4 linked regions of the Notamacropus eugenii genome follow. The protein of the gene in region 3 interacts with the protein of the main gene of each other region in a pairwise test. Links are inferred from orthologs where the notes say so. Each region holds a gene or a part of one and is shown on either strand. Other genes may lie near its edges. The genes, in order: GFAP, NAB2, CWF19L2 and TRIM37.

Region 1 (7,288 bases), on a different chromosome or scaffold from region 3:
CAAGGAGAAGGGAAATCCTGGAACATTCTGGTTTTCTCACTTCTTCATGAATCTTCCTGAGAAAGCGAATCTCTTCCTGCAGAGACTCAACCTTCCGTTCCAGATCCAGGCGGGCCAGAGCAGCTTCATCAGCCTCCTGCAGCAGGGAGAGGAGGACTAGCTCTGACCTCAGGATATCATCCCCTTCCCCAATGCCCCCCTCCCCCCCATATACACACATTCACTCTCCTTATCCCTCAGCTCTGACCCAGCTTCCATTCTCCAGGGATAAGGGAATAGTACAGAGAATGAGTAGGACAGAGATAAAAGACAGGACTGGAGACAAGCCAGGCACAAGGAAAGAAGGCAGAGCTGAAGGATGATGGATTAGGGAGAGACAAAGGCAGACATAGGGAATGGGGCAAAGACAAGAGACAGGGAGAGGCTGAGTTTAGGGGATGCTGCCACCTTTTTGCCTGGTTCCCTCCAGCCCCTCCAAGTCCCCTGACCTGTCTATAAGCTGTTAGATTGTTCTCTGCCTCCAGTCGAAGGTTGGTTTCATCCTGGAGCCTGCAAGGAAGGGGATAGGCACTTAGGATGTGCCAGGTGCTTTTTACAAATATGATCTCATTTGATCCTCACAAAAAACATTGTGAAGTGGGTGCTATTGTTATCATCCTTATTTTTACAGTACAGGTAATTGAGGCAAATAGAGGTTCAATGACTTGCCCAGGGTCACATAACTAGGAAGAGCCTGAGGTTGGATTTGACCTGAGGTCTTCCTGACTCCAGGCCCAGCACTCTACCCACTATGTTACATAGTGACCTTAAATTGTCCATGAGATATTTGAAGGCTACAGAGAGAAGGGTCCCAACAATCCTCTGGAGTAAAGGGGAAGTTAAGGGGAGGACAAAACTTTTGCCCTTCCGACAAACTAAAAGGGCCCTGAGCTATCACCTGGTTCCCATTCCCTTGTTTGAAAATGAAAGAATGGAGATCCAGAGTTGGGGGAGTGACCTGCCTAGAGTCTTGCAACTAGTTAATAGATTATATACATGCATTATTCCACTAACCCATCTATATCTCTCTACACAATGATATGCACACATATAAAACACTCCCTCCCCTCCTCTTTGCTTCTGGCCCCCTCCAATAGCCCAGAAGTTTCTCCATGGGGTTTCTTTCTATTGCCCATTCAACTCTGGGCACCACAGGCTATCCGAGAACATGCCTATTAAGAGCATGTGAGCAGATTGTCCACATGGCCCCAGAATGAGGAATTCATCTCTAAATCTGGATGTCAGCCTGGCCCTACAGTGCTGCTCAGACTCCTGCCTAGAATCTCAGGGCATTTTTAGACTGACTCCTCCCAATGTATTCTCTGGATTTTTCAGCTTCTGTTTTCCAATCCATATCCAGGTAGTCCCTGCTGATGCTTGTGTCTCCCCTTCATGCTTAGAACAAGGCTTTGCCCACAGGGGATAGTTGATCTGTAGCATGAATAAATTGATTAATTGAATAACTAAAGGGCCGCCAGATTCTTAGAGGTGGCCATGAAGAATAATGTAAACAGTGGTCTCACACCCATTCTGGCAGCCCACTCTATCCTCACTCTTTAACCCCTTCCTTTCCTTCCTCCCCAGCCCTGTTTAAGACTCCCCCTCATCTCCGGGATGCCTTCCTTAATTCTTCCTACCTGTCTTCCTGACTTCCTTCCATTCCCCGTGAATTCCCTGAGCACCGATGCTCACAGCTCTACCCAAGAGCCCATCCTTGTTTCTATTTTGGATGGGTCTCTTATGTACCTGGTCAGATTAGAGGGATGTGTGTGTGTGTGCACGCGTATCTCTCCTTGGGTTCAGCACAGGACTCTGCTCACAAGGATGAAACAGTTCACAGTCTGTGTGAGATGAGCAGACTAATGAACTGAGTGACTAATAGACCCCCCCAAACCAGAGTCTGAAGCACAAGAACCACAGTTTCATAAACATCCAGGATCTAACTTTGTCTTTCCCTCTGACACTCGCATCCCTTTCTCCCTCCTTGATTTCTACACAGTTCTGAGTCCCAGAGAGGTCAAGCAAGATGCCCAGAGTAACCTAGTAAAGCAAAAGCTGTCAGAGTCCAGGCACCCTGCCATTTGTCCCATACTTCTCCTCCAGAATGAGCTACTGCTCCAAGAATCAGACACATTTTCCCAGGAGAAAACTGAGAACGAGAATCTTTTGTGGCTTTTGGATTTGACCTTGAGGTCTCCTCTCCCTACCTTTTCTAGCTTCATCTCTTCTTTTTATTTTCAGTCTCATCACAGACCCAAGAAGTAGGAACTATTCTTATTAAGTTGGGGAAAACAAGACTGTAACATCCTAGATTTAGATTGAGAAGGGACCCCAGAGATCACCCAATGCAACCTCTTCGTTTTGCCCATGAGGAAATTGAAGTCTAGAGAGATTCTGAATTGCCCCAGGTTACCACTGGATAACCTTGCTCCAGAGGGGGCGACCAGCCTATTCAAGTCACACTGCACCCTTTCCTCTCCCTTTCTCCTTAGGACAACCACCTACTCACTTCTGTCTCAAGGTGGCCAGATCTTCAGACAGGTTATCCCTCTCGATCTCTAACCGGGCACTGCTTGCAGTCAGCTGATCCAGCTGAAACCGGAGTCTATGCAGCTCAGCCTGGTAGACATCGGCCAGCTTGGTAGGTTCTTTGCCCCGAAGCTGGTTGAGCTCCCCTGCCAGAACCTTGTTCTGTTGCTCCAGAAAACGGACCTTCTCGATGTAACTGGCAAAGCGATCATTGAGTTCCATCATCTCGGCCCGTTCACTGGACCGTGTTTCTTTGAAGCTGGCATTGAGTGCCTCAGTTACTGAGAAGTCAACTCTAGTGGGAACCGGAGGTGGCATTCTGCTCGGGGAGAGCCGGACAACTGGAGCCAGGCGGCGGGAACCTGGGAAGCGTACCACAACCTCAGAGGCATAGGATCGGCGGGCAGAGGAGGTGATGCGCCGCCTGTCCATCTTGGCCCTGGTTCTGGCTGGATCAGGCAGCCCCAAGGGGGCTTTATAGAAAGGCACACCCAGCTCCACTACCCTGAGCTGTTGGTTCTTGGCACTGCCCATGTTTACTTTGGCACCATTCCTTGGAAAGGGATGAGGCACTGACCGAAGGCCCCCCTGGGGGGGGGGAGCCCTCTTCTCTCCTCTCCCTAGTTCCCATCTCATTATTCTACCGAAGGGAGGGAGAGAGAGAGAAAGGTCTCCCTGTATTCTTGCTGGCCTTTGTATTCTCCAGGGAATTGGAATAAATTATTCTACTGTGATACACCTCATAGGCCTTCCCACTCCAAACATAGGGCTTCTCAAGGGCGTTCATTTTTCTGAAAATTCCCATTCTCCAAGATTCTCTTTCTACCCCTGTTTCCCTCTATACCAAGAGTTTTAGACCTGGAGCTTAGCCAGGACCTATCAGTCTGGAAACCTGGCTCCTAAAATCTCAAAACAGGAATGGACCGTCAAGATCTTTTAATGCAATTCTCTCATTTTGGTGAAGAGGAAACTGAGGTCCAGAGAGGTCCTTAGTTATGTCTAAGTTTATTCAAGTAGTTAGTGACAAAAATGGGGCTAGAACTCAGGCCCTCTTGACTTCTATTCTGCCATCTTTTCCATTGGTCTTCATAGAAGAGAGGAATGACTTTGGGGGATGGGGTGGTGGAGGTGGGGGAGATTAGTCAAGGATGAGCCAGAGGAAGGCATAGGACGTCTCTGGCCTTCCCAACCATGCCACCCTGCCCTGGTTCATAACCCTCCTCTGACTGGGCGCCTTACCAGAGCCCAGGACTGGACAGCTCCACAAAGCCATTACAGATGACCAGGGAGGCTGTGTGGTGCTGAGCTGTCTCCCAGGGAGAGTTCCCAGGGTCCCGTCCTCAATACTCCATCCTCTCCCTTCCCCCACCAATATCTCACTGAAGATTTATATCCCCTGAGTTCCCACACATTAGATCCTCTAGGTTCCCTGGCAGAGGAGCTAGGTACTGGTACTCTGGGAAATAAGAAAATGGGGAGGAGCAAAACTTTGGGAACAATAAGTTAACCTTTGAGGTAAACTTTGGACTGAGAGTTCTGGTGCCTGGGATCCCTGGTTCCTATCCTGTCTTCAGACCTTAGTGTTCTCGCTTCGATAACATAGAGTTCAAGCTCCAGTCCCAGATTCCCTGGGCTTCTGTGAGATAGGCATCCCTCACCCCCACCCCCAACTATTCTCAGGCTGCTGATTTCTACTTGCCTGGGCATTTGCTGAAAGGATTATTGTTCTGAGAGGTTTGGGAGGAGAAAAATGTCAACCCCCCAGGAGGTGAAGCTGCTTTTATCCCAAGGATGCAAGATTGCCAAACAAGGGTGCTGCCCAAGCTCTCAGCTCAATGGGCTTCTCGGAAAGAAGTGGAGTCAGGCTGATGAGCAATAGGCAGTGGGCTCTGTGCCCACCCTGGAGCCATTGTGTCTGTGCCAAGGTGAGTCATGCAGTGGGCAGAAGAAGCTGGGTAAGGGGAGTAGAGACGGGAAGGGGGGAAGAGGAAAACCCAAAGCTAAAAGAGAAATCATCTTCAGAGAGAGGCCCCAGCTCCAGTTTACAGCTACTGCTCCCTCCCCAACTTTTTCCACAAAGCCAACTTGACTCTCCTCATCACAGTTTCTCTGAGAAACTCAGTGGAACCTTGAGTCTGAATTACAAAGCATTGTCTCCAACTGGAGCTTATTCCACAGCTGGCCAATCAGTGGCACCAGCGTGGGCTGGGGTCAGATCTGGGTATTACCTCTGAGCCCCCATAAGGAGGGGGAGCAAGATGAAGTCTGTAGTTCCAGAGCCCACACTACCCAAAGGCGTTTAGGTCTGGAGCACTTGGAGAACCCTGGAGGCAGGGCCCAGGAAAGGCTTGGACTCCCCCACAGGTAGGAAAAGGGCTGGCTGTAAGGTATTAGGGAATGGACAAGATTGAGGGACTGGACTTTTTCATCTTCATTTTTTAGAGAAACGGAGGACATTTCCAGTGGGATTCAGCAAGTTTGTGTACTCTTCCCCCCAGCACCCTGCCATTTACATTCAAGAGAAAGTAACACTCCAGTGAACTTTAAAGATGCTATCAAACCCAATCAAAAGTGTTTATTAAGTGCCTACTACATACAGTGCCAGGCACTGTGCTAAGCACTGGGGTTACAAAGTATGGCAGAAGACAATCCCTGCCCTCAAGTAACTCACATTCTAATAGGGAAGACAATATGTAAATATGTACAAACTATATTGAGAGAGAGATGGATAGATAGATATAGATAGATAGATAGATAGATAGATAGATAGATGATAGATGGGTAGATGTATGGGTGTAGAAAGAGAGAGAGAGAGAGAGAGAGAGAGAGAGAGAGAGAGAGAGAGAGAGAGAGAGAGAGAGAGAGAGAAAGAGAGAGAGGGAGGGAGGGAGAGAGAGAAAGATGATAAATTAGAGGAAAGGCACTAGCATTAAGGGGATCTGAGAAAGTCTTCTTGGAGAAGCAGGATTCTAGCTGATTTTAAGGAATCCAGGAAAGTCAAGAGGTGGACATCACAACCCAGAAGACATTCAGTGAAAATTCAGAGTTGGGCAATGGAATGTCATATTTGAGAAACAGCAAGGAAGCCATTGGAGGGGAATAATAAATCACAAAAACAAGCTAGGTAGCCCTTCTTTGCTTTTGTAATGATCATGAGGGACTAGTGACATATAAGAGCCTTGAGAAATCTCATCTGCTACTTGCTGTCTTTCTGAATCAATGCCCATCTGCCAGTGACTTGCCCTATCACCATACCCAGGGGATAGCTATGAGAGCAGCCCCACTCTTGATTCCTTGCCTCATCCTCATCACTCACCCTCCCTGAAGCCCTGCTCTGGTTCCTGCCTCCAACCCTATACCCCATTACCACCCTCTACATAGACAGTCACAAAAACAGACAGACTTGATTCTGAGATACACTCCACAGGACAGATGCACCCCAAACTACAGCCAGAGGCCCTCAGCTTCATCTGACCACTCTCCTTCTGCCTAGGTCCCTTTCCAACTTGGGTCTTTTCCTGATAATATTCTCCCTTCGTGTACCCACTCCCTCTATAGTTCAGAACTCCAACCTCACGAACATAGGATCATGGAGGAAGGCACAGGGCAGCTGAGAACTCAGTCAACTAGCAAAGATCTGGACCCTTGGTTATATTTTTTAAATGATTTATTTTTAGTTTTCAACATCTACTTCCAAAAGATTTTGAGTTCTAAATTTTCTCCCCCTCCCTGTGACAGCATGCAATCTGATATAGGCTCTACATCTTATATTCACATCTATAGATTTTCACATTAGTCATGTTGTGAAGAAGAATTAGAACCAATGGGAGGAACAAACAAAAAAAAAGAGCAAATAGTAGACTTCGATCTACATTCAGACTCCATAGTTCTTTTTCTAGATGTGGATAGTGTTTTCTATCATGAGCCTTTTTGGAGTTGTCTTAGATCCTTGGTTACATTTTTTTTAAAGAATGTTAGAACTGGAAGGCACCTTAAGAGATCACCTAGCTCAGGCATGCACTTAATAAATGCTTGTTGATTTATTGACTTATCTTGTTCAACCCTCTCATTAAAAAAAAAACAAAAAACAAAAAACAACTGAAGCTTAGGGATATTGTCATAGCACATTGGAAAGATCCCAGACTCTGGAGTCGAGGGACCTACATTCAGATCCTGACTATGAAACATTAGTTGTGTGACTGTGGATGAGACACAACCTTCCTGTGTCAAAGTTCCCTCTTCTGTAAAATGAGGGGGTTGAACTAGATGGTTCCTGAGGGTTCTCTCAGTTCTAGACCTATGATCCAAGTGAAGAGACAAAGAACTCAACAGAGCTTGACTGACTAAGACTAAAAAGGGTCCAGAGATCCAGGTTGGGAGGAGAGTGAGTAGGGAAGTGCAGAAGTTGTTGGCCTGGCCCCTTTGGAGGCTGACCCTAGGGTCAATGTCCTGGCCAAACACTGAGTGAGAATGAAGTGTCTAGCTGGCAGCTAGATGGCAGTGCCCAACTGCCCAGGCCAGAGTAGAAAGAATATCCTTAAACAAAACCTATTACATCCTTTATAGTAACTCCTCAGCTTTTTATTCCAATGGGAATTAGTCCTTTGCTGCATCACCAAATGTAGCTCCACCTGATGTCTTCCTGTTTTCAAAAATCCAGTCTACTCTCAGAGGAGAGGAATTTGCCACCACCGAGCATACTGGAAAAAAATTGTACTTG
Region 2 (7,964 bases), on a different chromosome or scaffold from region 3:
CTCTTTTATATCAAACTTTTCCATTCTGGTGGGGATGAGGGCTTCTGTCAAGTCAGGTATAGGAGCCAACAATCTGAGGAACCTATAGGTACTGAAGGAGGTCAGGGATTTCTAGAGATTATAGCATGGGCAGGGGGAGGAGGGGAGAAAGGTCAATGAACTCTGAGGGGGACCCTGAGGTCCTTACCTCATGCAGACTGAGCTGTTTGCCTTCCCTGCGCTTGGAGTCAAAGCGTCCATAGATAATGCTGTACTTTCTGATTTCTTCCTCTTTGTGACTGTCATTGTCATCCATCTCAAAGATGTGCCCTACACTTCGAGCTAGCTTCTTATTCAGCTTGAGGAGGGACGTCACCTCCCCAGCGTCTCCCCGGGGGAAGTTCCGGATGAGACGTTCCACACTTTCGATTACCATTCTAACCATTTCTGGTTCTAGTCGATCTGAACCACCGCCCACCCCACCAGACCCGGGCCCTTCTGAGACCCCACCCCCAGCAGGTGGGGAGAAAGGAGGAGAGCTGGCCTCTTCCTCTCCACCAGCACCAACGTCCGACTCGGGAGTGCTCCCGCCTGCCCAGACTCGAGGATCTCCACCTCCCTGGCCCCCAGGCAAGGGAGAGAGTTTCTCTCCTAGTTCTAATGGACTCTTGGGGCTGAAGCTTCGGGCACTGCCCGCCTTGTCTCCTGGGCTTCCGTGTCCATTGCTCATGCTCCCTTTTCGACCACCTGCTGTCTCTGAGATCTTAAAGAGAGGGATGCTGGAAACAGGCACAGCAGGCACAGGCTGACTGAAGAGCCCTGGGTTGGTGGCCCATTCCCTTAATGCCTTTTGCAAACGTCGGACATGGAGAGGTTTGGTGGCCATGCCCACCAGTGCCATGATCTCCAGGAATTCTTCTTCTCCTGCCTCACACAGCTGCTGAACGTCGTCCCCCCCCTGCTGGATGAAGGTCTCATAGTAGGACAAGAGGTTGGCACGCTGCAGGACTCGATACAGCTGCAGCTCCCCCAGTGTCCGGGGTAGTGCCATGGTTGGAACACTGGGCCTAGGAAGGGGCACACAGGAAGAAGATAGGTCAAGGAAGCTCCCTTGGTTTGTCACCAACCCCTCAGTCTATTTTTCCTCCTTGTGAATTGAGAGTTTCTACATTCTGTGTAAGGTTCATTATTCACCTGCTCAAGCTGAAGACTAAGTAGATCTGGGAAAGTGGGAGCTATCCAGAAAGAAGCCAATATACCATGGTAAACTTGCATCAATTAAGAAGTATTTATTAAAATACCTACTATGTGCCATGCACAGCTGTGCATCTGCCACAGCAAATAACAAGTGCTGGTGCCTAACCTCAACAGGACCCAAGGCCCCACAGTCCTCATTCTCTGCCTTCACTCATCATGCTTTTCTCTCATCCTAGCATCAGAAATCCATGGCAGTTAGTGCCACATTTAACTGCCATGCCAGTTAAATTGAAGCCAGTATATACCTAGTATGGCCAAGCACTCCTCCCTCCCCAACATACTCTACAAGCCTCTTCTACTGAGTACACAGTAATATCAAAACTCCACTCCCCAACCCATAGGACATCTCTCTGCTTCTCAGGGCATGACAGAAAGCACCTCTGATCTGCTCTACTTCTCAGTGGGCTTCAAGAAGAGCTCAGGGAAAATAGGGCCTCCCCCAGCCCCAGTTCTCTGAAAGCTGAGCTGAAAGGGGTGTGGCTCATCCCCTACCCACCCAAGCAGCACTTCCCTTCCCCCACCAGCAACTTCCAAGGCCTTGACCTTCTGTCCATACTGCTCCTTTTCTGAGTGTCCCCGCTCCCCATCTTTGTAGTGACCTTCTTCCACCCCTTCTATGGCCCCCAAGGCCTCCCAGGCCCTGGTGCCAAGGGAAAGAAGGATAGGGGTGTATTCATTGTTCCCTTCAGGAGCTGTCCTGCCCACGCAGACTTCCACAGTGGCTGAGTGTGTGGGTGCAAACGCCCCTGGGGCCCCCACCTCCTACCTCCCACCTCTTCCCTATTCCTATCCACCTCTGCAGAAGAGGAGGGGAGCGAATGATGGAGGGGCTACAATAGAGGCCCCTTGCACTCAAGCTGTGTACAAAGAACCAGAAATTAAGGGAAATTAATGCATCCCTTTCTGTCCTAGGAGATAGCTCTGTGTTCTCTTCCTTCAAAGAGGTCTGCTTCTAGCAACTGAAAAGCCTGTTTTCTCTTTCTCGTGCCGTCCTAAAGCTAAACCAGTCGGGGGCGCCGAGGCCAACCCTAAGCGATGGGGCTTGCCCTAGGGATGGAGCTTCCTAGTTCCAGATACCAACTACCCCGTCAAGCTGTGCCTGGGGCAGGAAATGAGGGACTAGGTAATATTCTCCTTATACTCGGCACTAACAGAGCCCTGGGCCTCCTTTTCTATGGACTCACAGCCCCCACCCTTTTTCTCCTCACCTTCATCCCACTCCCTCTCGATTCTGTTTTCTTTCTGAGCTCCCCATACCCAGTCCCCCTCCAGAATCATTTCACTGCCTGCCCAGCCCAGCCCAGCCCACTTCTCCCCACTCACTTGGCTCTGGGCTGCGGGGTCCGGCGGGCGCTGTCCCCTCCGCCCGGCGGCTGCTCAGCAGTAGGGGAGGGCGCCCTGTGCATGGACGGTAGGAGACCCTCCGGGGTACCCTTGGCGGTTTCCAGTACTCCTCGCTCTGCTCCAGGAGCTCGGTGCCCAATACCTGGTGCCCAGTGCTCCGTGTAGTGTCCGCCGCTGTCCGGGCTCCGTCCCTGCCTCCACGTCTCCTCTTTCTGTAGCTGTGTCTCGCTGCCTCTGCCCCCCTCCCCGGCTGCGCTTACCGCCTCCTCCCCCGCAGGACGCACGGGGGAGCGGGCCCGGCGCTGCGCTGGTTGCCGGGCGGGCTGGGGGCGTGGGCAAAGCTGGAGGCGGTGGGCGGGAGCCGGGACCTCAGCCCGGGAGAGAGAACGGAGAAAGAGACTGGCCGAGCCAGGAGGAAGTTAGGGGGGTGGGGGGTGGGGAAAAGGAGTAGGCGGTGGAAAGACAGAGGCGGGGGCGGATGCGGGGGCGGAGGCGGAGGTGGGGTAGGGGCGGGGACTTGGGGCTGGGGCACCGAGCAGGGGACTAGGTGACCCAGGCCCGGCTGGAGAGGGCGGGCTAGTATCTTAAGGGCGGGACTAGGAGCTTTCTCTGCTGCCCACTCCGGATGCAAAACCCGCCTTCTCTCCGCCCCCGCCCCCACGTGAGTGCCCAAGCAGGCATCCATCCCTGCCCCCCAACTCCAGCTTCCCAGACCCTGCCAACCTGAGAGTGGAGTTCCACTACCACGCACAGGTACGCACAGAGACAGCTACACAAACACAACCACACAGAGAGACACATGCAGAGTCACACCAGCCCCCTACAATCTAGGTCCCTTGGTTCCTAGACCTTCTAGTGTTAGCTTAATGGGGAAGAAGGATGGAGATAGAGACTCGCAGTGTGTGCACTGTGAGACGGTATTTCTGGAAAGGGTCTTCTGGGACAGTATCATCGTCCGGCTGGAAACTCATCTGGTCTCCTACCTTTTAATGGAAAGCCTTTTGATTTTGGATTAGAAGTCAGTTCTAATCTTTCCTCGGCGGCTAGTAAGCCGTATGACCTTGGGCAGATTCCCCTACCTCTCTCCCTGGGCCTCAGTTTCCTCCTCTATTAAAAAAAAAAGCATGATTTTCTCATTTATTTAAAAAAACCCAACTAGTGGGTTGAAAAAAACAATTGCTATGTGTTCCTTCCAGATCTGAATCTACGATATCTCCGAAACCAGAAGGTAATTTTAGAATAGGGTTTAAGGATTTCTGTCACCCTTAGAGATGCTCCCTGACTACATATAACCTCACCCTGTTATTCTGTCTTAGAGGTTTACAGTGGTGTTTGTTATGATAACAGCGGTAGAAATCGGCAGAATGTGTACTGATAATTCTAGGACCCACCAAATAGATTTGTTTACATTTTCTAATGGATACCAGTTTGTTACTTCATAGGGTCAAAGATTGGTTTGCTATTGTGAACCGCGGGACTCTTACTTGGCTTTTAGGCATACCTCAGGTAGTATACCTCAGATAGTAAATTGGAGTCGCCCCCCCCCCCCCCCCAATCCATTTTCCTTTTTATTCATCACTTCTAGTTTATTTTCCTTGGGGCAAACTTCAGCTTGGCTGTTCTACACCAGAAAAGTCATATCCTAAGAAGTAAGGCAGTGCACTGAGGGCATCTGGGGGGAGGCAGGGGGTCTTTTCAGAGCGCTTGGTGATACAGAATAGCTAAATGGCAGGAAATAATGTGTGAAGTTTTCTATATGGGATGGTCTACAGCAGAATTCTAGGGGTGGAGCAATTTCAAATAACCGCCTTTATCCAGATAGTCTTCTCTACCCCCTAACCCCCTGCCTCCCCCATTTCTTTCAGCTCCATATGGTTTTTATTACACTCACTCCCACGGCTGGAAAGGGGGGGGAAGCGGGGGGTACACACCCCACCCCACTCCTCAGGACTCGAAGATAATAAGGGGGGGAACAACAAAGAGAGGAGAGGCAAGCAACCAGGAGAGGACAGCCTTTTCCCCAGCCTCCAAGCCCCCAGACTCTAATTCCACATGCCCTAATTTTCAACAGCGTTCACGCAACACTTGAAATGGACGGGTGGGCGGTGTGCCGGGGAGGGTTAGAGGCACCGGGCGCACTTTCTCTACTTTCGTTGGGTCTACATTCCCTGGAGGTTGGGGCATTTCCTGTCGGGGTGGGGGTGAGACTTGAGCAAATAAGATTGTCCCCTTCACCCTCTCCAAACCACAGGGTGCCCAACATGGGGCGGAGGGAGCTGTGTCCGTCTGCTGGTGGCTGCCCTCACGAGGGTGGGGGGCTCCCTGGAACGCCAGCCCCGGCGCGAGCGTGGGTGGACCCTCCCCCACCCCTCGGTTATTTTTGGGGCCTGAGCTGCCAGCCACCGGCCCCGGGTTTCCACGTGCCCCCCTTCCTGCCCACGCTCCCCATGACGCACATCCTTCCACCCCCGCAGCCTCGGGCTCTCGGCGCCCCCTCCCTGCCTCCTTCCCTCCCACCCGGACGCCCTCTGGAGGCGCCGAGCCCCTGGGTCCGGAGGGAGAGCCGGGAGCGAGGAGAAAGGAGGCCTGAGTCGAGGGCTCGGGGCAGGGCAAAAGAGGAGGTTGGGACGGGACCCGGCCGGGGAGACGGAGGCAGAAGGCGGAGCCGGTTCTTCCTTCCCTCGCCCCCTGCATTCCCTGCCTCGCTGCTGATGTGGGGCAAGAGGAGTTTGGTAGGGACGGTGAGAGCTGTTAGTCCTTGAACTCCCCAAAGAAAAGGAGGGAGCGCTTTCCCCCACACTGTACCCACTGAGGTCGTAGGTTGTATCTGCCGAGGGGGTAAGTTGTGGCAGGGTAGGACAGTGGTGACAATTACTTGGCCTGGAAGGTGTCCTGAATGTTTGAGAGTGTGACTGTATCTTTTGGGGTTGATACTGTGTGTCGCTGTCCAAGTGAATTGTGTGTTCTAGATGCGTGTTTTTGTGCTTGTGAGTGTTTGTATCTCTGGGTTCTTATGAGTGGATTTTGTTATTTTTCAAAATCAATGAATTGTCAGGCTCCACCTTCGGCCACAGCCGCCCCCGCAGCCAGAGCTGCTGAGATGTCTGTTCTCCTCCTCCTCTCAACCATCCTCCAATTCTCCTCCTACTCCTTTCCTCTGAGAACAAGGATTTTCCAGACCTGAGAAAAGGGAGAGACAAAGAAACAAAAACTGGGCCTTAAGAAGCTACATAGAGACACAAAGAGAAATAGAGACAGTAACCAAATTAGAAGCCTGTTCTTTCACGGGAACCAAATGAAAAGAAAAAAAAAACACTTTCTTTATAAGCTTTCCCTCTTCCTCACTCCCTAAACCACTTTCTTGCCTGATTGGGAAAAGGGCCCATTTTTTTCTCTAAGGTCCCATTTCGATTGGTTTTCAAAGCAGAAATAGTGAGCTCTTTATCAGTTTTGAGTTTTCGTATAATGTGCAGTTTATTACATTGGGGACTATACTATTTGTTCACAGACTAATTCTTCCCTTTCCCTGCTTCCTCTAATTTAATTCCTTTTACTAAACATTCAGTAAGTACCCTTGTAAGGCAACTACTGCTTTGTAGAGCATAATGCTGGGTAAGATAGTTCCTACCATTCTGGAGGTATGAGGATATGAGACATAAGTAACCACAGTTTAAAAAATAGCACTTGCTAGGTACTTAGAGGAATTGCAAGAAAAGTGTTGAGTGGATTCTTGAGGGGAAAGTGCTATTAATGACTTAGGGAATACGGAAGGCTTTCTGAAGGAGGTGGTATTTCAATTTGGCCTTAAAGGATAGCTAAGATTTCAAAAGTTTGGGGTGGGTGGAGAAGGGTATTCCAGGCATGGATAATATTGTGTGCGAGAAGAAATGGAGGTGGGGAAATAATAATAACTAACATTAATAGAGCTTACTATGTGTCAGGCCCCGTACTAAGCACTTGACAGTTATTATCTCCTGATATCCTTACAGCAACCCTGATGGGTAGGTGTTATCTTTTTTTATGGATTAGGAAACTGAGGCAAACAGATTAAGTGACTTGCCCAGGGTCGTATCTCTTTTTATGTAAATAGTATTTTATTTTTTCTAATTACATATAAAGACAATTTTCAACATTCATTTTTATAAGATTTTAAGTTCCACATTTTTCTCCCTTCCTTATATTGGGAAAGCAATCCGCTATATGTTATATACGTGCAGTCAGTCACATAGCTCTTAGAAATGCTGGTTGTTCACTAATCCAGATTTGTGTGAGGATTCTATAAGGAGGGAAGTAATATGAATTGATTTAGAGAACAGGGACCCAGGATCTTCAAGCCCAGTTTCCTAAGAAAATGCTTAAGGAAGAGAAAAGCAAAGGATGGGAGGAGGGGAAGTGTTGGAGAAGAAATGGGCAGGGAAACAAAAAGCATCACCAAATGAGTCTCATTGCTTACATGGATTTCTGATCTCACTGGCGTGTGTACTCCCTCCAGTGGTTCAGATCGTGGGTTCTCTAGATGTTCTCATCCCGCATAATTCTTGTCTGTGTTCTTCCCCAGATGCTCCTCAGATGTGGTGCCTTATTGTGATGTGGAAGTGACCTGTGGTTCTCCAAAGCTATGCATATATACATCCTATACATAGCTTGAGCATAGAGGGCTCCAGATTTTTAGATAAGATATCCATATTAGCAAAATATTGTCTAGCACACACCCGAAATATATATGTTAATAAATAATATGCATGTATTATTATACAATGTTATGTATATTACATAAAAATATACAAAATAAAAATTTTAAAGGCTAATATGAGAATGAAATGAACAATATTTTAAGAATTATTTTATTTTTTAGAAGTAGAAGAAACCCTCTTTGCTCTTTGGAGCAATATATTTGAATATGTTTCTTTACTTTTGAAAAATCCCTATGTGTGCCCTGGTGGATAGGGCAGACTTATAAGTAATAATTATGTTGATAATTAATTATTCAGTGGTTTATTGATTATAGCTAGGCAAGCAGGTGAATTTCTTTTTCAAAGATCCTTTTTTATTTTAAACATATACTGTACCACAAAATAGTAGGTCATAATAGTCAATGAATCTAACAGCTTTTCAGTTGGAGTCTTGTTTTTTAGCATACACAATATAAAAATAGCCAACAAAAGTGAATCATCTCCATTTTCAACTCGGGAGAAAGATTTCTTTCCATTCTTAATTCTTAATAATATACTTTAATAATATGTTAATAAACTTTTGAAGCGAAAACAGTAAATTGCCTGGTTTGATCCTTTGATGCAGATTCCAGACTCAGTGGTGATTAACTTTGGGCCATTTCTGAAAATCTCAATTACCCTCAAAAGATAAAGATTTTCCACTATTATATA
Region 3 (7,449 bases):
GCTTCTTGCTGGGGCAGGAAGGACCAGCTTACAAATGCTGAATACATAGTATCCTCTGTGAAGAGGAGCACCATGAAGTTGGCTTACATTTTGCAATCAGATCTAATCAGCAAGCTTTTATGCCTCCCAAAAGTAGTGAATAACACGCTCATTGAATGCAGCTGCCAGTTACAGGAAAATGCCATGCCACCATCATCAGAACATATCCTCTCACCAAGATTAATCTTGATAAGTTCAAAGAAAAATTTTATGAAGACCCTGGGTACCCTCATAACCAATGTGCAAAAAGAGGGCCAGCTTGTAATTCTGGGTGACTTTAATGCCAGAGTAGGCACAGATTATCAGATGTGGCAGGGAATCCTCAGGAGGATGTAGCACCAATGTGATATTCACAGTGCCTATAGCAGCCATGAATATGCCAGCACAATTCTGAATTGCGAAATACCACAGACTCTCCACATGGAAGACAGAGCAAAACATTTACTCAGACACAATAACAACGCAGAGGGCAGCACCACCCTAAAGCCTTCCCTCTTCTAGGCTTCCCACAAACCAGCTCCATTAGACAAATCACAAGTAGACTCCCTTAAACAAAATCACAAACAGGCTCTTTCACTCACACTAGCCAGCTGCCTGCTTGCTTGGATCCTTCCTAGCTCTGACTGCTCTGACCAATCTTTTTCTCAGCTCTGCTCTAGCTCTACCTCTTCCTGTTCCACCCTTCCTGCTCTACCCGTCCAGCAAGCTCCTCCCACAACATGTGACTTAGGCTTCCATGTGATTTAAACAGGTCACATGGACTTGTTAATAGATGGGAAAGATCTTCAAATTAAGCAAAATATTACACTAACAATAAGCAAAAATGAATTATCAATACAGAGGAACATAGCCAGAAATAGCAATATCAATGGTCATTTACTACTGAAGACTTGAGTGTTTCACAGCTTTCTCATCGTCAACACCGCCTTCTGTTTACCTACATTCAACAAAATGTTTTGGATGCACCTTTGTAACAAGCACTGACTATATCATTATAAGGGGAAGAGACAGGCAGGAAGTGAGAGTGATGAAGGTGATGTGTGGCACACAGTGCTGGACTGATCACAGACTTATCCTTTTAAAGCTAAAATTCCCATGCAACAAAAGTGGTGGCCCCAAGGCAAGACAACAGTCAGGAGACTCAACCTCAACAGATCAGAGTGCTTCTGCTTTCATAAAGTTTATTGCTGACCTGAAGGGAAAGCAGAGTCAGCAAACAGCAACAATGGAGCAGAAAAGGAGTGGGTAGCATTCAGAGATTTGGTGTATGGCACTGTATTTGCTCATCTGGGCCAGAACATTTGCAAACATAAGAACTGGCTTGACAAAAATGATGGGGAAATTAAAGAAGCTGTTAGACAAAAAAAGAGAACTCTACAGTGTTTGCCAGGAAGACTGTTCATCTGTCTCTAAGAAGGCAGTATTTAACTCTATCAAAAGTAAACTGAAATCAAAGCTTAGAGAGATGTTGGATTTTGAATTCAGTAAAAAGGGAGATGAGATTCAGTTTTCCACCAATAGCAAGTATCCCAAAGTGCTTCTATGATGCCCTGAAGATTATTTATGAGCCAAAGACCTCTGCTGCATCTCAAGAACTCAGCACTGATGGAGTCACACTGATTAGTGATAAGGATATGATCCTGAAGAGATGGGCTGAATTCTTCTATAGTGTTCTCAACACATCACCATCAACCAATGCTGAAGCCATTGGCTGTTTACCTTAGGTTGAAGTCAATCCCTCTCTAGATGAACTTCTAAATGAAGGAGTACTGAATGCCATTAGGCTTCTTTTGTGTGGCAAAGTGCTTGGCACTGATTCCATCCCAGCAGAGATCTACATGGCGGACAGGTTCACTGTTCATATAGATGCTGACTGAAGTCTTCCAGGTTATGTGGCAAGAGGAGGTTATCCCTCAGGAGATCAAGGATGCTTCCATTGTCCATCTCTATGAAGGAAAAGGAAACAGATTATCCTGTGACAGTTATAGGTGTGTGTTTATGTGTGTGTGCATGTCTGTGTGTGTGCGCGCGTGTGCGTGTGTGTGTCTTAGTCATTGCTGGCAAGATTCTTTCCAGAGTACTCCTTAATTGGCTGATCCTTCATGTGGAAGATAGTCATCTACCAAAGAGCCAGTAAGGCTTCAGAAAGGGCAGAGGAAACGGCATTATTGTGTTTGCTGCCCAACAACTCCAGAAGACATTTCTGGACCCAGTGTTTGTCGACATGACCAAGACCTTTGAAACTTTGATACCTGATACAAGGCCTCAGTCATGAGATCTTATGGAAGATTATGTTGAACTTTGGCTGCTTGGAGAAGTTCATCAATATTGTACACCAATTTCATGATAGCATATTTGTGTAAGTTCTTGATAAAGGACAATACTCTCATGCTTTCCCAATTATCAGTGGAGTGAAGCAGGTTGTGAGCTTGCTCCCATGCTTTCTTAGCATTGTTAGCATTTCAGCAATGATGTTAGATGCCTTCAATGAGGGAGAAAACAGCATCAAGGTCAGCTACTGCACTGATGGCAAATTCTTTAACTTGAAAAGGCTACAAGCTAAAACTAAAGTAGAGGGAGAGTTGGTACACAACTTTTTGTTTGCAGATGATTGTGTACTCAATGCAGACTCTGACGCTGAGATGAAACAGAGTATGGATTGATTATTTGCTGCTTGTGCTAATTTTGGCCTGACAATCAATACCAAGAAAATAGAGGTTCTCCCACCAGCCAGCATTTTTCCATCCATTCATGAAACCGTTGGTTAACAGTGAATGAAGAAATTTTTAAAAAATTATTAATTTATTTATTTTCAGTTTTCTATAATCACTTTCATAAGTCTTAGATATTTTCCCCCTCCCTCCCAAGAAATTTTCTATAGTGTGGGGAAATTCACTTACCTTGGTAGTATACTTTCCAGGGATGTTAGGTGATGAGGTTGATGCATACAGACATTGCCAGAGTTAGCCCAGTGTTTGGGAGGCTCCAAAATAAAGTATGAGAGAGAAGAGGTATTAGGCTACATACCAAACTGAATGTCTACAGAGCCATTTTGTGCTGACCTCATCACCATATGACTATGAAACCTACCTTGTGTACCAGTACCATGCCAGAAAAGCCAACTGTTTCCATCTGAATTGTCTTAGATAGATTCTGAAGATTACCTGGCAAGATAAGGTATCAGACACAGGTCCCTGAATTATTGGCATTACAACTCTATGGCAGAAAGTGTAACTCCAATAGGCTGGTCCTGTAGCCCAAATGTCAAACATATGTTTACCTAAAAGACTATTTGGCTGAGAAGTCTTCTAAGGCAAGCACTCACATGGGGTCAGAAGAAGTGGTACCAGGACACTCTCAAGGTCTCTCTGAAGAACTTTAGTATCAAGTGAAACATGGGAGACCCTGGCACAGGACTGCCCGGCATGGTATACCTGCATCAAAGAAGGCTCTGTGCTCTAAGAACAAAGCAGAATCACAGGAACACAAAGCAAATATGAGAGGTACAGATCTAGAAAAAGCCATCCCAAATGTTCAAATGGCCTATTTGTAGTTGGAGCTGTGGTAGAGAGAGTCTTGTGAGCTCCCATCGGACTGATCAGCCTCAGTCAACACGCTGTACATCACTGTGCCCAACAGAGTGATGTCATTGGTACTCCACAACAACAACAAACACTGTGGGAATTAATTTTCTTTGTATAATTCCTCTGTGTAATTAGTAATAATATAATTATTCTCTGTATAATTAGTGGTGAAAATGGGAGTTTTTTGAGGGAGGCGTGATAGTGGGTGGAGAGGAGTTGATGTCTAAAACTTTGGCAGCAGAGCGCAGCGTGGGGAAGCTCTAGGTCAGAAGGGGGGAGGGATCCCCAAGGTCAGAAGGGGGGAGGGAACCCCAAGGCTAGAAGGGGGGAGGGATCCCCAAGGTCAGAAGGGGGGAGGGATCCCCAAGGTCAGAAGCGGGGCTCAGAAGTTAGGGGTGAGCAAGGGCTCGGAGTCAAACTTCATGGTTTTGCGGAGGGTCGGTTACTGATACAGGGGTGCCCCGGCTGCGAAAGGTGAAAAAGAGCATCGACTTTCCATAGCGAGCAGTGAGGTCCATGGCAAGACAATCACATTCTCGGGTGCCCGGTGGCATCATCCCTTCCGGTAACAGCCTCCCTTTAATGCTAGCAAACCTAGCCCAGAGGTGAATACGCGGTGTCCCAAAGGTCTCACAGCAGGTGGGTCAGCTGACTAACTCCTTTCTCCACCTGCATTTGCCTTCTCCTCCCAGGATTTAGCTAGACTCGAGGGAGGAAAAGACCCCACTCTTGGAGAGGGAGAGAACAATTCCTCGCGCGCATACCCAGGACTCTGAAGTTCCAACTCTCCTTCCCATAGGGCGCCCCGCCCCTCTCCGTCCCGCCCCGCCCCTCTCCGTCCCGCCCCTCCCCTCTCCGTCCCGCCCCGCCCCCAGGGACTCCTGAGAGCGACGAACCGGAAGGTTCGCTTTTACGACTGTCGTAAGCCGACTTTTACGACGGTTGCCTTGGGAACTTTTCCATAACAACAACGATGGCGGCTTCCGGTGGTCGGTTTGAAAGCGCTAGGAGCATCGAAGAACGGAAAGAAGAGAAGCGGCAGGCTCGGGCCGAGGTCCTGCGACAGGTATCTCCGTCTCAGAGCATCCTTGTACCGTCGTTCCCTGTGCCCAGGGCGCTGGGGGTCTGGGGAGCCACCCCTCCGGCCACCGCCTGCTTCCTCCCTGTCCCCACGCTCTCTTAGGGGCCGCTCTCAGGCCTTCCCGTCCGTCAGCTCCCACCCCGAAAGCCCGCGGTCGCCCCCGGTCACCCCCGGGGTTCTCGCCGTTTTAGACCATTTAAGCTCAGACCTCACTAAGGCTTGTGGGGACCCCTGATTTCAAGTCCCGCTTACAAGTACAAGTGTTGGAGCGTACGGACAAGAGGCCTAGAAAAGGGGAGGAAGGCTGCCCAGGGGTTCAGGCCTCGCCTCCTTTTGCTGTCGTTCTGGCGAGTTTTTGCGATCCAGTCCCATTCAGCGTCCTCTCGCCTCCCCAGCCTCCCCCCAGCTTCTCCCCTTCCCTGTTTCTCTTCTCTCTTCTACCCTTCAGCTTCCTTTCCCTATTTATGGCCTTTTCTTCTGTCTTTCTCCTCTTAACTGTTTTCTCCTTATCTTCCTTCTCTCCAGAAGAAGACGATTTGTGTAATGCGTATATATAGTCAAGCAAAACAAACTCCATTACTGTCATATCAAAAAAAAAAAAAAAAGATCTTTCCCTGCATTCTAAGACCATCACTTCTCTGGGCTCCCTCCCTAGCCCTCTCCTACATTTGCACTATTTTCCCTGCCCTAGAAAGTTAAGGATTTCCCGGACCATGGGGTAGGCGTCCTGATCACCTTTTTCTTTGTTTTTCTTAAGCTGTCAGATATTGAGAAACTGCACCTTCAAAAAATGTTGGATGGAATAGACGTTGTGAAGCTCTTTAATTTTTCTGAAATGGAGGATGGACAGAAAGATTCTGAGCACTAAATACATCGATTGTCTTTGTGAATTTGTGAAAACTGGAAGTGCCAGTTTTTCCTTTGGAATTTTAATCTACTTGTCCAATATTTTTTTTCCTTACTGAGTTTAAATTTCCCTCAGATAAAAGTGTATTTTGCAAAAAAAATTTTCATTTGAGATAGTCATAAATGGGTGAATATATAAATTGGAGTTAAGTAAGAGAGCGTTTCTGAGCAGTTCCATAGATTTTTTAAGAAAAAAAGTTATTCTTCATTTTATTACATGGTAAATTCTTGAGGCTGTGCCTCAGTTGAAGGTTCAAAAGATTATGAGAGTTTTGTATTTCTAGGCTGAACTAGGAAAGATATCTAGATTAGCTTTTTCAAAAGTCAGTGTGGTTTTGCTTAATCACATTTGTAGAAAATAGGTATTACTGTTTCTTGCTCTGTGAAAATTGAACCTGGAAGAGGATTTGAGTCTTTTCCCCCCTCTTTTCCTCTATGCCTCTCTTGATTACTTGTTGAAATGGTGCCATTGTTGCTATGGTTATGATTTTGAGGATAAAAAATAATAATAGCATTTATGTGTCATTTTAAGATTTACAAAGAGCTTAGAAATTAGGAGGTCATAGGATTTAGCAAGGGAAGAGACCTTGTAGACAGCCCAAAACTCTTATATTACAGACAAGAAAAAGAGGCCTAGAGAGGATAAATAGAAGAGACTGAATTTGAATCCAGATCCTTTGACTCCTGTTTTCTGCTACAACAGTAGTTTTACTTGGTAGGCACAGTTATATTGACTTTCATATTTTTTTATGTAGCAGCATCATGCTTGATTAACTTAGTTTTCTTCTCAATGTCATTGTGAAATAGCTTTTACCTCTTTTATTGCTACATGCTAAAGGAACTCCATCCACTTCAGTAAGCATTTATGTTCAAATCACTGTGTTAGACGCAGTGGTTAAAACAACAACAAACAAAAAAAGTTACATAGACGAAAAAGGGCACATACCTATCATCACATCTATTAGGGGATGGAATGGGGGGGAGACACAACATGTAAGAATAGACAGCAGATAAGTACAGATACAGATACAGTGTAATGGAAAGGAGGACACATTAATTACTGAGGGAATAGGAAAGAGTTTTTTTTGTTAGAAGTAGTAAGTACTTAAGTGGAGCTTTGAGCCTTAAAATGAGGTGGAGCAGAGAAGGAATGTATAACCTGTGTCAAGAAAGAGAGATGTAATGTTACAGACAGGAAACAAATACACCCATCTGCCTGGAATGTTGGGTGTATGAGAAGAAATATGAAGTCAGTTTGACAGAAGATAGAGCCAGAGAAACCTCTGATATTTGTTTGACTCCTGTTCTTTAAAAACTTTGGAAGTCTTTGTAAATAGGCATAACATGACACTATTTGAATTTCTCATGTTTTCACCTCTTTGTATGTATTGAAGAACTCTAGAATAAACAAGTTTATTTAGGTTAAAATTTTATATTACATACACCTTTTGTTCAGAAATCTGACTTGCCTATTGTTCATCTTGGTGATTTATATTATTTTTAGTGAAGAGTTTACACATTGATATTTAAACATCTTTGACTTTTTTGGCTGTTTGAATTCTGGTTATACAATGGAGAAAGATGTTTGTGGAAGAATGACAGATACTAGTACAAAATTTTGACAGTGTGGACTTACCAAAAGATAATCTATTAGATGTATTATTTGTTGAGTTGTGTATTGATTCAGCCATTCTGGAGAGCAATTTGGAACTATTCCCAAAGGGCTATAAAATCACGCATACCCTTTGACCAAGCAATACCACTACTGGGTTTGTATACCAAAGAGATAAAAAAGGATAAAGACCCATATGTACAAAAATATTTATAGTTGCTCTTTTA
Region 4 (7,737 bases), on a different chromosome or scaffold from region 3:
TCACATCCTCCACACCATGGGTCCCCTATACCTTTCCGGTAATATTTTATATTACCATCCACACACCCTTGCTGTTCCCCAAACGTGGTGTGCCACCTCCCACTTTTAGCCCTTTGCACAAGGTAGACTTCATGTTGAGAATGCAGTCACTGCTCACCTCTACTTCTCAGAAATCAGCTTTGTCTAAAGCACAATGTAGGGATTACCTCCTCCTATAGAAAGGCTTTCCTGGTTTCTTCTTGTAATTACTTTGGATAACCTTTGTATTTACTTAACTTTGTGAATCAAACCTTTTTTCCCCCCTTCAGAGCAAAGTATTCTTTGTTGTGAAAAATCACAAGACACTGAATGTTTAAGTTGGCAACAAATAACGGTTCCTGGGCAGTCAGGCCTACAGCAGCCTTTATCTGGGGATTGGGATTTCTTTGCCTTTCCTTTCCTCTCCCACTTTACTTCCCTTTGACTCCCAGTTGAGGAGGCAGCTTTGCACTGTGGTGGATATAACTGCTACCGTGACCTTCCTGACTCAAGGCAGGAAAAACAGGAAGCAAGCTGCAGCTGGGAGAAGGTAGAAGTCTCAGGGTATGGGAAGGAATTCCGCAGCACACTTAGCATTCCATACAGCCATCCCCTTTAAGGATCACTGGCATGTGTGCTTCTCCTCTCCCTTCTCTGCTCTCCTCCTCCCCCCTCAAGTAGAAAGTAAGTTCTCTCTGGTTATTTTTTATTTTTGTTGTTGTTATTCTAGCCTTTACATCCTGGTCTCCAGCACAATGCTGGTACTTAGCAGATGTTTAAAACAAACATTTGTAGGATTGGATTGGATTGAATTGACAGGCAGGAATTTGGGCCTTTGTATTTTTTTGTCTCTTAAACCCCTTTTCACGCCACAGTGATAATAATCTTTTCTCACAATCTGTTTTGGGCATTAATTAGCTTATCACAGAAATAATGACTCAGAAGGGGTGAGGGGAGGAAATGGGCACACTACACAAAAGTCAATAAAAAACCCCACCAATGTCTTTTTATGTTTCCTTGATCTACTAAGGGTACTTAATGCTTAAAATAGCTCAATAACTAGGACTTTCCAGTAGCATGGTGTAATAAAAAAAATTACATTATGGATTTGAAGCCCAGCTCTGCTACCTATATAGCAACAGAAACAAAAAAAAAGTGGAGGAGTTCTTATTTTAGCTCCTACTCCCACTAATAGACTGGGTCCCTGAGAGTAGCTATTGTATCTTTTCCTTAAATATTCTAGGATAGAAGTGTTACTGGGTCAGAGCTGCATGTAGCTCACAACATTCCCTAATGTTGCTGAAATTAGATTAAAATGTAATTAGGAAATATTTAAGAAGACAAAACATAATAAGATATAGATTATTACATTTTAAAACTAAGTCAATATGTGGCTGTAGGTATCCTTATTATAGGATTTAGTGACCTCTAAGCTCATCTCCTTTCTTCCTTCTAAAAATAGGAGACACAACAGAGACAAAAGCAACATAGGTGCCATATATTCCAAGGCACATTATACTGGTTGGGGAGGGCCTACAATGGCAAGCAGGGAAGAGAGGGATTGAATTGTCAGTATCTTTATTATGCACACTCAGTTTTGGATCAGTAGTCAATAAAAAGGTTTTCCAGGATGATATCGCAGGTGAACAGAAAAGTCAGTGTTTGCATATGCTCTGAAGTGGAAGATGTGGCCTCTCCATTCTGTTACATCTCACTTCCAGAAGCAGACCACTCAAGCATCTACATACTTTGGCAGCAGACAGAAGCATTTGTGTATACTGCTAGGACTAGGCCCCTCATTGGCTAGTCACCCCCCATCCCCACCCTCCCCTTTTGCTGTGAGACCTTGGGTACATTACTTCATTCCTCATTCCTGTAATCCTCATCTGCAAAATAAAGGTGTTAAGACTAGATAACCTGGAGGATCTGTTTTTCGCTCTAGATCTGGTAATCTATTGCCCTAAGACTTACACGATTCTCTGATCCTTACTCATTAGACCTGTGAGCTCAGTGAATATGAAAAAAGGGATGGAGGATATGCATAGAGTCCAGGGTGAGGAACTTGTGGCCTTTTGACTGAATCCAAACTTTTGTTTGTCCAAACATTTGTTCTGTAAAGTTTGGATTCATTCAAAGGGCTGCATTTGAGGGCCTGGGGGTCCACATGTAGCCTTGAGGCTGCAGGTTCCCCACCTCTGGCATAGACTAACTCGACCTTGTTACTGGGGCAGCCAACTGTATTGTCAGCACACATGATTTGGCTTAAGCCCCAGGTCTGGGGAAAAAAAATCCCCTGAATGAACAAGAACAAAACATTTGTAGAAGCCTTTTACCCAAGGAATTAAAATGCAGCTGGGATGGATGCCTTCAGAATAGGACAGAAGTCTTTGGTGTACTATAACCCAAGAACTGGCAACTAGTCCTAAGGGAAGGGGGTGTGTAAACAACTGAAGCAGGGACGGGGAACAGATTAGAATTACTGGTTGGTGTTCAGCACTACCACTAATGCTATTTCTTGTTGGGGGAGACGAGATGCTAGGAAAACACTGTATGTAGCTCAAGCCAATGCAGAATGGTGGGGACCGTCTTTGATTATGAGAACAAATCTGCTGAAATGCCTACTTCCCTGTTCTGATTCCAAGAGCCTCCTTGCCTAATAGCCAGCAATATTTCTCCCCAAGGCCTGTCATCCTTCTCCCTTTGGCAAGTTCCTCCTGAAGTCTCTATTTTGTGATGATTACCAGGCCAATCTGCCTTCGTGGTCCTCCCCTTTCTTGTTGCTTCCTCTCCTCCACAGCCCCCTTTCAGCTTTCTTTAGCGTGTGATTTTTCCTCCTTAGAAAGTAAGCTCCTGGAAGGAAGAGACTTTTCTTTGTGCTTGCATTTACGCTCTTTGCATTTAAACACAGTGCCTGGAGCACCATAAAGGGTTTAATAAATGCTTGTTTCCTTCCTTTACCTCCCTTTAGTTCTTGTGCTGAGTCTAAATGTGATTTCCTACTTCTTTGGGAGTTTGTTTGCTTTTTGTATTTGTCAAGTGCAATCAAAAGAAAATTGTTTCTCTGATACTCAGTTTGTGCCCCGAGTAACATACTATGGTTGCCTAAGGGGGAAGTGGAGGAAAGAGACAGGGACTGTGATTCTTTTTTTAATTGTTGAGATTTTTCCCAGTTTGGGGGCTCAATTAGAACTACATATATTTTGATACATATCAATAGATTCTTCCCCAAAGCTGAGAAAAAAGATGAATACAGACTTAAGACCCCCAAACGAGTCAGTAGGAGGAGGGCTAGGCAAGTTAAAGGGGAAGGAAGCCCCTAAGAGGCAATAGTTAGAAGGAAACACAAAGAGGGTTTAGAGACCTAGAGGGACACAAGTCTGGAAAGACTTAAGGGTGGGGGCCTGGAGAGAGGTAGGAGCTAATTTTCTTGATTGAAAACATCATTCTTTTCTTATCCCTTCCTTCCCGAACTGCCGAAGCCCTTCTCCAGTGCCAGGCTCTGTATTCAGGGGCTAAGATTAAATAAAAAGCAAGAGTCCTCAAGGAGCCTCTATTTTTAGTAGTGAGAGTGCGAGGTGGCACCCGGCCTAGACCTGAGTTCAAACTGGACCCCGGACACTAGCTGTGACCATGGCAAGTCTCTTAATCGATGCGTGTGTGCCTCAGTTTCCTCCGCTGTAAAATGGGGAGAATGGCAGCACCTCCCAGGGTTGTTCTGAGATACCTGTAAAGAGCCTGGCACACAGGAGGCACTACATGAATGCCACTGTTACTAGGAAAGCGCATCGTGGCATCAGGGGTGGGATGCTGAGGGTAGCAGCCAAGGAAGCTCATGACTCTTTCCAGAGAAAGCGAGGTTAGACTGTGAGAATGACAGTCCTTAGAGCAGCGGCCAGGGTCAGGGGAAGAGCTGAGAAATACGACATATAAGCAGACTGATGTCCTCCTTCCTCCTCCCGCGGTGGCAGGATGCCCCGAGGTTACTGCGGGAAGTGCCAAGGTGAGTGGCGGCACGTCCCGCGGGGGCCCTTCCGTAACAGCACGTTAGGAGGCTGGCCCTGCCGGGCGGAGCTGCCTTTCCCTAGCCAATCTGTCCTATTCTGTTCTGAATGAACGAACGCTCCTTCTCTCAGCCGTTACATTCAGAATACAATACAAATCCCCGCCATTCTTCCTCCCGGGGGCGTGGGAGGGGGCCTCGCTTCCTCCAGAGGGCTCACAGGCAGACGGGAACCTTTCCACGCAGGGCGTTCCCAAGGGCTGGAAAGGCACCCAGCGAGCCGCCTGACACGTGCCAGCGGCCGAGGCGGCCGCGTTCGTCCTCCGCTGGCCCAGACCCCGACCGGACCCGCCAGAAGCAGCGCGAGCAAAGCCTTATTTCCAATGCACTCCTTCGTCCACCCGCCCACCTATCCCGGGCCAGTCACCCGGACAAGACCCACCGAGGTGCAGCCTCCCAGGGCACCTGGCTCGAGTTCGGCTCTGAGAAAGCCCGGGAGCTGTCCCGGGGGCGGGGCATCTGGAGGCCCGGCCTACCGGCCCGGCGCGCTCTCCACGCGGCGGAAGGGCGATTTTCGCGCGGTAACGGGGGGCAGGGCATCCAGGAGACTCTTCCAAGATCCGGCCGAGTCGCGCAGTCCGGGTCAGCACGCTCTCCGGCGGGGGGGGAGGAGCGCTCGCTGCCCCTCCTCCGGTTAGTCCCCGCCCTCTGCGGTATTCCAGGCCCCGCCCCCTCCGCGGGCGCGCGGACTCCGAGCCAACCGCCGCCCCGCTCCCAGCCAGCCGCTACAGGCCCGCGGGGGGCGGCGCGCGACACTGCGGCAGCCGCGGGACGGTCTCGTGCTCCGCCGCGTCGCGAAGAGCACGTTTCTCCTCTCTTGCGGAGGCCTCCTACGCATGCGCGTTGCTCCCCTCCCGCTGCCGCCACCACCCTAGCCACCAGCTGCCCTGGTTACCGTTGGTGTCCCGGTACTCCCCTCTCCTAGCCCCGCGCCAGCACTTAGGCGGGATAGAGCCGTTCCCCCTGTCACGGGGGGGGTGGGGGGGAGGGAGCCGCTGTGGGGGTTCACGCTCGGCCCATTGTCCTCCCTGTTCGCCCGCTCGACCCCCCGGGCTAGGCTGGGCTGGGCTGGGCTGAGCCTGGCGCGCGGGGCCGGCTGACTGGAGAAGGGAGGGGCGCCCGGGTGGGGCGCGCGCGGACAAAAATGGCGAAATGGGGTTAGGCGGCGTGGAGGCGGGAGCGGCGGGGCGCCGAGGCGGGACCGGGTAGACCCGAGCCCCTGACCCCCACCCCGGGCATCCTGCTGTTCTCTCAGGCCAACCGGACCTGGCCACCCGGTTCTAACACCTGGTGGAGGAGAAGGACGGACTCCGCGGGATACCGCGGGGCCTGGCGGGAGCTGGAGGCAATGGATGAGCAGAGCGTGGAGGTGAGAGAAGAGGGGCGACGTCACTGCCGAGGGGAGGGGAGGGGGCGTTCTTCACCGGGGCAGCTCCGACCCCCCCCCCCCCCCCCCGCCCTCTTAGCCTTTTCCGAGGGGGGCGTGTCGCGTGCTCCAAAGGAGCCAGGCTCGCTTGGTTCTCGGCGCCACGCCCCCCAACACCGATGCCCCCCCACCGGCCCACCCCCTCCCACCGGCGACCCCCCAACACCGATGGCCCCCCTCCCGGCACCCCCCCAAGTGCCGCAGTCAGCTGGGTGCGCCTCTGGTGCTCCTTCCCGGGAGATGCCTTTGCACAATAATCCCTGTCCAGAAATGGAATGCGAAGGAATGGGTGCCCGTGTGCCCGCACTCTGTGCACCCGGCTCGTAGCGGTGCCCCGATTCCCCCTTACCGCACTGCCGGGCCCTTTTTTCTCTGCCTGGTAACCTGCCTGCCTCCAAGGGATGGGTAAAGACGTGCAGAAGTTCGGGCTCTGAGGCGCCGCGTCTGCCGGAGGCAAGGGGAATGAGAACCAGAGCTTAGCCCCCTCCCCAGCTTCCCTCTACCCCTGGGGAACAACCCCGAGAAGGGTGGGGGCTTACTCTGGGACGTGTGCTAAGGCACCCTGAGCCCCCAAGTGCTGCCGAAGGTGGCCGGTGAGGACCCTCGCTGCCCTCTTACTAGCTGGGACGTATTTGTCGGTTTATTGCTGTACGCTTATTTACTTCGATTTCCCTCAGCGTAGCTGTCCTGTTAGCTGTCCCCTTACACTACGTTCCAGTTTTGTTACACGCACGTTCCGTTAGGTTATATTCTATCCCCTTTCCCCCTCGGGAGTTCCCAACCTTTTTGGATTGCATCCTCAGATCCCTAGGCTTTCAGTCAACTTTCTGGTACCCTTTTATTCAATATGAAAGGAAATAAATTCTAGAGTTTACTATGTACGTGCATATAAGAAATGAAAGAGAAATTATTTTTTTAATAAAGAAAGCTTTATTTGGTACATAACCCGTTTAGTATTATAAAGGTTTTTTCCCCCATCAAATGTTGTGTTAGAACATATTAAGATAAATTAGTGAGACCTTTCATTCTTCTTGTCAACAGTTTTATTTTTGGTACAATTTTTGAAAGAGATATCTGCATGCCATATCCAGCTTCCACTTTTTTTCTTGCTTTAGATTTAATTGAGAACAGGATTGAGAAACCTGATTCCCAAAGACAAATTGTTATAAATGAAATTAAAGCTTTGTGAACATATAAGAATGGCTTACTGTTTTCCAAAGGTATACCCCAAGTTTTGTAACTTTATTGATTGGAAATCATTTTGAAGTCTCTAGTTACTGTGGAGATGAATTGGTTCATCTTTCACTGGGATGTTGATATTTTTTTCCAGATCCAAATGAAAAGTTTCATATTCCAAACCTCATTTATTTGGTTTTGGTCTATAAAAAATATTCATTCTCCCTTTCAGATTTTTAAAGTGCTCCTGCCTTTCCTACCCTGCCCCTGCTTCTTCACCATTTTTCTCTCAATTCACTCATTTTTTTCACTAACACTATTACTTTTGAAGTATTTCAATAGACTGACATTTATTTACCAAATATTCCTCTACTCCCTTGACAAGGTTTTCTTATTTCCTGGGGGAACATTTATACCAGACTGGGAACCCCTACCCTAATAGATACAAACTCTAGGGTCTTGCTCTTTTTCTTTTGGTTCTTAGTGAATTTCCAGTGTCTAGCACACTGCCATGCATGTAGTAGATACTTAATGTTTGTTGAACTGTTCAACCCATTTCTCTCACAGAATGCATTTAGAATTCCCAATAAGGTATTATATTAATGTTGATTCAGTTGCCTGATGTAGTGGTTTAATTATTTTCTTAGAGTATTGCTGAGGTTTTCCGATGTTTCATTTGTATGGAGAAATTGCGTGATGCACGTCTGTGTCCACATTGCTCCAAGCTCTGTTGTTTCAGCTGCATCCGGGTAAGTACTGTTCTTTTTAGTTAGAAGTAAGTAGGTTGGGTTATGACTTAAGGAGACTTCTGATAGATTGCTAAGGTGGACTTTCCATTTCTTTGTTGTTCTTCCCTGGCTATTGCAATTCTTATTTTAAAATGTGATAATTTTATTATTGTCAGTGAAATGAATGGGAAGGGTTTGGATTAATTTTTTTCTTTGTGCTTCATTGACATTATTCTCCAAGTGAATACTTACTTACCTCAGAATGTGTGAGGGTGATGTGAAAGGTAATAACATAATGGTTATACTTTGGGGCCTCGTAATGACTTTTT

The links.
Region 1: the proteins of CWF19L2 (region 3) and GFAP interact in binary tests that used the Homo sapiens proteins (3 or more experiments, as listed by UniProt). The link is inferred for Notamacropus eugenii from reciprocal best matches to the Homo sapiens genes CWF19L2 and GFAP.
Region 2: the proteins of CWF19L2 (region 3) and NAB2 interact in binary tests that used the Homo sapiens proteins (3 or more experiments, as listed by UniProt). The two-hybrid records come from large-scale screens. The link is inferred for Notamacropus eugenii from reciprocal best matches to the Homo sapiens genes CWF19L2 and NAB2.
Region 4: the proteins of CWF19L2 (region 3) and TRIM37 interact in binary tests that used the Homo sapiens proteins (3 or more experiments, as listed by UniProt). The two-hybrid records come from large-scale screens. The link is inferred for Notamacropus eugenii from reciprocal best matches to the Homo sapiens genes CWF19L2 and TRIM37.

Annotation. Positions count from the first base shown.
Region 1 is NC_092873.1:348,995,381-349,002,668, reverse strand, and holds the start of GFAP (glial fibrillary acidic protein), read right to left. Parts: upstream 3,011-7,288; 5' UTR 3,001-3,010; coding exon 2,549-3,000; intron 550-2,548; coding exon 489-549; intron 137-488; coding exon 41-136; intron 1-40.
Region 2 is NC_092874.1:232,431,431-232,439,394, reverse strand, and holds the start of NAB2 (NGFI-A-binding protein 2), read right to left. Parts: upstream 3,015-7,964; 5' UTR 2,643-3,014; coding exon 2,560-2,642; intron 1,047-2,559; coding exon 188-1,046; intron 1-187. Other genes in the region: uncharacterized protein, read left to right, coding at 4,671-5,321, 7,139-7,168. UniProt on the Homo sapiens protein: Acts as a transcriptional repressor for zinc finger transcription factors EGR1 and EGR2. Isoform 2 lacks repression ability.
Region 3 is NC_092876.1:147,499,938-147,507,386, forward strand, and holds the start of CWF19L2 (CWF19-like protein 2), read left to right. Parts: upstream 1-4,440; 5' UTR 4,441-4,596; coding exon 4,597-4,689; intron 4,690-7,449.
Region 4 is NC_092873.1:371,820,822-371,828,558, reverse strand, and holds the start of TRIM37 (E3 ubiquitin-protein ligase TRIM37), read left to right. Parts: upstream 1-4,733; 5' UTR 4,734-4,986; intron 4,987-5,203; exon of another isoform or gene 5,204-5,333; 5' UTR 5,334-5,426; coding exon 5,427-5,447; intron 5,448-7,327; coding exon 7,328-7,429; intron 7,430-7,737. UniProt on the Homo sapiens protein: E3 ubiquitin-protein ligase required to prevent centriole reduplication. Probably acts by ubiquitinating positive regulators of centriole reduplication.